Linked DNA regions of Nothobranchius furzeri. The protein of the gene in region 2 binds, or shares a complex with, the protein of the main gene of each other region. Links are inferred from orthologs where the notes say so. Each region holds a gene or a part of one and is shown on either strand. Other genes may lie near its edges.

Region 1 (1,918 bases), on a different chromosome or scaffold from region 2:
AAGAGGGCTGAGAATGAGCCTTGGTTGGCCCGGAAAAATACCAGGCCACCCAGATATGTAAACAACCTATGCTACCCGGCCCGGGCCGACCCGGTACAGATGGGAATGGCCCAATAGGTAGATCTAAAGGGTCCGAGTTGGACAGCCCTGAATCATATGCTACGTATCACAAACCTCTCATGCTTTTATCAGACTGTGGTTCTTTTTACAAGTGTCACTGTTTAACAGAGAGCCTCCCCCCCCCCCCAGGTCGGAGCGGTCCAGCTGAGACTAAACAAACCCTTCTTCTTCAAGACAAAAGGAGAATGGCAGTCGCCTCGGCCGGAGTCTCCGCTGACCAAATTTTCTCAGGGCAGAAACCCTAAAAGCAAAAAGTGTCACTAAGGAAGGACGTGAACGTACGATGAAAGCTGTTCTTGTTTGTTTCGGAGCATTTTGGGTCAAAGGCTTAAAAGTTCGAGCTTTTTTAAAACTTGTTTTGTTTTGCATGAAAAGATGATAGTTTGTGTTTGAAGTACAGGCATGTTTGCTGGATTGTTCCTCCCTGAAGTACGTTCACATTTCATAAAACAGACATTAAATAGCTGTTCTGTGTGAAAATGTTTTTATCAAATAAAAGTAACTTATTCCAATAAAGTTGTTTATTCTTTTCTGCAAGAACTGGAAAAATCCAAGAAGTTCAGTTGTTAAATCGGTTACATTTATCCATTTTATAACAGGAGTTTGTTCAGTAGCAGTTAGCGTTTACACGGACTCGGTTACTATGAGTCCTACCTGCAAGCCTAAACTTCCAGACAAGTAAAACCCAAGTCTAGCAGACTTTAACAGACATGAAATAAAGAAAATAATGTTACTGAAGTTGGTAAAGGAGGTAAAAGTGCATCAGAAAACATGCCGTGGGTTGTTTTCAGAGAGCATCCTAGTTGTGTCTGAAGAGCTTGATCCCCATCCAGCTCCAGAGATGGAAGAAGACGTAGACGGGGATGGTGACCGGCAGCAGCAGGCTGTAGAAGCACAGACTGTTGCCGCTGGTGCAGCCTTGAGGGAAGTTCTCATCCACGGCTGCAGAGTAGAACAAGCCAATGAGTGACACGATGGGGACCAGTCCCACCATCACGGACAAGGAGAGCATTCTAGCAGATTAGCTTTACAGTTTTTTTCTTTAAAAAAATAGCAGTGCTCAATCGGTTTTCTGGCAAATGAAGGTCTTTGATAGACTTTCTGTTACTGTGCAGGTGGATTAGAAGCGTCTGTGTCCTTCTGAAGGAGTCTGGCCTCCTGGGGGATCATGTTGGGGATGCCGTCGATGATGGGATAGGCGATGCCAAGCTCCTCATTGATCAGCTCGTTGGTATTGGCATCATACCTAGAGGAAAGAAAAAGAACATCAGTTATCTGGAAAACAGATTAGACTGTTTTATGCGTTGGTTCAGTCATTTCTAATAATGAATGCCTAGGTCGCAGGTCGATGATAGACTTTGAAGTCGTATCATCCGACCTGCGGCCGTGTGTTTTGGACACCAGAGTGAAGAGAGGAGCGGAGCTGTCAACTGATCACCACCTGGTGGGGAGTTAGATCAGATGGCAGGGGAAGATGTCGCGTAGACCTGGCAGACCCAAACGCATAGTGAGGGTCTGCTGGGAACGCCTGGCAGAAGAACCTGTCAAGACGGTCTTCAACTCCCACCTCCGGCAGAGCTTTGACCGCGTCCCGAGACCAGTGGGGGACATTGACTCCGAGTGGGCCTTGTTCCACTCTGCGATTGTTAAGGCGGCTGTTGCTAGCTGTGGTCGCAAGGTGGCCGGAGCCAGTCGTGGTGTGGAGTGTGTCGAGTTTGGAGGCAGGAGAATCTCGTCTCTGCTTTTTGCGGATGATGTGGTCCTCCTAGCTTCATCCAGCTCTGACCTTCAGCTCTCG
Region 2 (3,759 bases):
ACTTTTATTAGTAGGGCTCAGAAACAGTAGACTGGAACTGAAATTGACTGAAAGTCATTATTCCAGAGAAAGGGAGCTTAACCACAGAGCTGTGTGCTTTCTGTTCCTTTGTGTTGCAGACAAATTACATAAAGGAAAATAAAGAAAGAAAGAAAACGATCTTTTGTATTTATATCTCTCAAGATAAAAATCACAAAGCATCATGAGCCCAGGAGGTGAGGTTAAAATGTTGGGAGTTTCCATGCTTTTTTAATTATTATAAAGGCATCAGGTAATACAGGGTATATGCTGGGCTCTAACAAATAAATGGTAAATAGCCTGTATTTGTATAACGCCTTCTTAGGGTTCTACAACCCCCCCAAGGTGCTTCACAACACAATCACCCATTCACACACTGGTGGTAATGAGCTACAGTGTAGGCACGGCCGCCCTTGGGCGCACTGACAGAGGTGAGACTGTCGAGCACTGGCGCCAACGGTCTGACCACCACCAGCAGGCAAGGCGGGTTAAGTGTCTTGCCCAAGGACACAACAGCAGCATTCAGCACCACTTCATCAGTTGGCGGGATATGTCACGTCCATGATAGCAGGGCTGTAGCAATGGTACGTAAAGGCACGTGTTACGGAAACGCAAGCAAAAAGCCGGCATGAAAGAACAAATAATTATTTTATGATATTAGTTTACTTTCATCTATTTTTATACAACCTTATGGTAAATACACATCAATACTAACTAAATTTAAGACTTTTTAAATTGATTCAAGATATTTAAATACTTTTTAAGGATCTTAATTTTCCTCAAATAAATTTATTAACTTTTAATGCTTTTCAAGACTCCCCAGATATTTGTTCTTCCTTTTCTTGATTGTCAGTGCAGTTTGCACGACAACTGGGTCAACCATCTTCCATTCTAGCTGTTAGGCGCTCCAGATGAGCAAACTCAAACTCAAAAAAGCCTCGCATGATTGATATTGTTTGACAATTTTAAAAATACTTGTGTCAATTTTATTCAGTACATTTTTGGAGTAACCTGTGAAATGCTCTAAATTTGGCCTATTTGGCCTACATTTTTACAATGTTCCAATGCAAACAAAACCAACACATACATTATAAACAAGCAGAAAAGAAGCAAAGAATGACAACATCCAACCCAACAGGGTCTGGGTACCTTTGCGGTAGACGAGCCGGCTGATGACAACTATTGTGATCCTGTCAGCTGGCCGCTGGGACGGGTCAGGAGTAAAATCTGTAGGGTCAACAGCATTGGGAATGACAGACACGATCTCTGGGTTGAGCACAGCCCGGAGCACCGTGTTCTCCTTACTGGTGTAGGAAACACACACAATGTGGTTGGTGTCACACAGCGTAATTGTCAGAAGCTTGTTGGTCAGCACGGAGCTGAGGTCAGCAAAGCCAAAAAGTGAGTGGTCAGTAAACACCTGGTATTAAAAGAAAAACATTTACATTACTGAACTGTGTGTTATTAATAAGGGAGACATACATGGCTTAGAGTCACATACGGTGTTGAGGCCCATGGTTTTGGCGTGGAACAGTGCATCGTGGGCCATGGAAGAGAATGAACTGTGTGCGTGTACCACGGTGATCTGCTCCCTGACAAACACACAGCGCAGCAGTGGGAGACTGTGGACGCAGGTGGTGGCTGTGGACTGGCTGTACATCACTTGCAGGGGCAGGTAGTAGACCTTCAGTCCATTGGTTAAATACCTCACACCCCTCCTCCTGCCGTAGGCATGAGTGGCAATTACCACCTTGTGTCCCTTTTCAATCAGACACTGAGAAAGCTGATAAATGTGGCTTTCTACTCCTCCCATGTTTGGATAGAAAAAGTCAGACACCATACAGATGTTGTGCTTCCTGTTGCAGATTCTGGCAACATCTGCGGAGTCTCTTTCAGATGACAGAGTTTTCACTGCTCCTGCTCTCCTTCGCTGGCCCATCGTGCAGTCCTCCTGTGGCTTTTCAATCAATCAGAGCTGAAATAATTTATGATGTGCCGAATAATATCACATAAAGCAAAAGATAACAATTAATTACAATGAAAGTCAAACTTATTTTATGAATCTCTTTCCTCAAATTTAACTGTGTCACATTCATTTTTCATTTTAATCAATACTTTTCTATATAGCATTATATTCCTAAAGAATTTTAGCTAATTTTCTCAAAACTTATTGTGATTATTACTTTTCTCAACCTCTGTTAATAAAACCAAAACTCTTAATAGCAGCAATCTACAATACAACAATGAAAACAGCTAGTACCATTACATTTAAATGATTCATAATGATTACACTGAACAACTTCTACACCTTCAGTTTACCAAAACTAATGCTGGAGGGTGTCTGTGCCTGTTTAAAAGGGATTGAAACCGTTTCTAAAATGAGCACACTTTATTCACATTGACGAATCTCCCGTTTAGGACCATGTACTTGACAGGAACCGTGGCTCATCGACACAAGTCATGACTAGTAAATGTAACTCAGACATGATTTTGAATAATAACTACCGGTAACTAGCGTCTGTTTTTATCAAGCTAATAAACCCATAGTTTATACTTAAAGTCAAATATTGCATCCTATACTTGTTTAAAGTTACAGCCACCTTACCGCGAAATTAAATGTCAGTCTTGTTCTAATCGGTGAAAACAAAAACGACTCTGGTTTTGTTGAAGATTCATGTCAACTCCGTAGCTCTTTGCTAGCAGATTAGCTGCCGGTCGCACTTCCTGTTGATGCCCTACGTCACTCGCAAGAGGCATGCGCGGTCCAGACCCTAAGCTTTGGCGCGCTCTAGAAAATAACAACGTTGTTAACAACAACAGAAAAATCAAGTTGGTATTAAAACGGGGGCTACACAAAAGAAAGAAAAAAAGAAGAGCAAAATATTTGTTGAATATACAATCAAATTTACTTTTTCAAATGAGAGAAAATGCTACAAATGTTTAGGAAAACAGCAAGTTTTCCACTGATTTTTGCACTGTCCATGCTCATAATTGGACATAAACTTTCAAAAATGTTCACTTTTGGCTGCAGTCATATTTTCACTTGTTAGAATCAAAACAATGATTACTATAACCTTTTCTAGGCATACACCACCTTGGAATGTGTTTATTCCCAAGAATCTTGGTAAACAGAATGTTGTTTTTGGATAACAATATTATAAATTACTGTAAACTTTGTATGTAGGTGTATATTTAGTATTGAAGTGCAGCAGCTGAAAACTCACCTGTTCAGACCTTTGGTGTTTTTGTGTGAGCTTCATACTCTCTCCTTATTCAGCTTTGTTTTTTACCACTTCTGCAGGATCCACTGATTACATCTTTCTTAATTTTCTTTCCCTTTCCTTACATTTTTTAAAATTACAATTTTTAAAATTTTCTCATTTTGTGATATATTTAATCATTTAAAAAAAAATTTTTTTTTGCTCTTGTGAAGTGCCTCCTGATTTTTATCCTGAGAGGCACAATATAAAATATTGCTTCTTCTTCTTAAGACTAAAATATTTGAGTGTGAAAGGTGTTTGGTTAGCCATGAAATCAAATATTGTTCAGCTAGCATCATCCACTATAGTAAAGGGCCTGCTCATGAGCAAAAAAATACTAAAAATGATAACCAAACAAGTTGGTTTGCTTCAGTAAGAAACAAGGGAAATTAATCACCAGATTTGTTTTCTCAGAATTTATTAGAAAAGTATTGAAATTCAAATCCCAACTATTTTAGGCTTGTAAACATATTTTTCATGT

Evidence for each region. Proteins that work in one complex are often made in the same cells at the same time.
Region 1: piga (region 2) and phosphatidylinositol N-acetylglucosaminyltransferase subunit Y share a complex: the UniProt entries of both Homo sapiens proteins name them as parts of the glycosylphosphatidylinositol-N-acetylglucosaminyltransferase (GPI-GnT) complex. The link is inferred for Nothobranchius furzeri from reciprocal best matches to the Homo sapiens genes PIGA and PIGY.

What each region holds. Positions count from the first base shown.
Region 1 is NC_091744.1:85,184,286-85,186,203, forward strand, and holds phosphatidylinositol N-acetylglucosaminyltransferase subunit Y, read right to left. Parts: upstream 1,133-1,918; coding exon 920-1,132; 3' UTR 624-919; downstream 1-623. Other genes in the region: triadin, read left to right, coding at 250-384; pyurf (protein preY, mitochondrial), read right to left, coding at 1,225-1,366. UniProt on the Homo sapiens protein: Part of the glycosylphosphatidylinositol-N-acetylglucosaminyltransferase (GPI-GnT) complex that catalyzes the transfer of N-acetylglucosamine from UDP-N-acetylglucosamine to phosphatidylinositol and participates in the first step of GPI biosynthesis.
Region 2 is NC_091754.1:25,446,896-25,450,654, reverse strand, and holds the start of piga (phosphatidylinositol N-acetylglucosaminyltransferase subunit A), read right to left. Parts: upstream 2,755-3,759; 5' UTR 2,624-2,754; intron 2,097-2,623; exon of another isoform or gene 1,994-2,096; 5' UTR 1,958-1,993; coding exon 1,520-1,957; intron 1,439-1,519; coding exon 1,168-1,438; intron 1-1,167. UniProt on the Homo sapiens protein: Catalytic subunit of the glycosylphosphatidylinositol-N-acetylglucosaminyltransferase (GPI-GnT) complex that catalyzes the transfer of N-acetylglucosamine from UDP-N-acetylglucosamine to phosphatidylinositol and participates in the first step of GPI biosynthesis.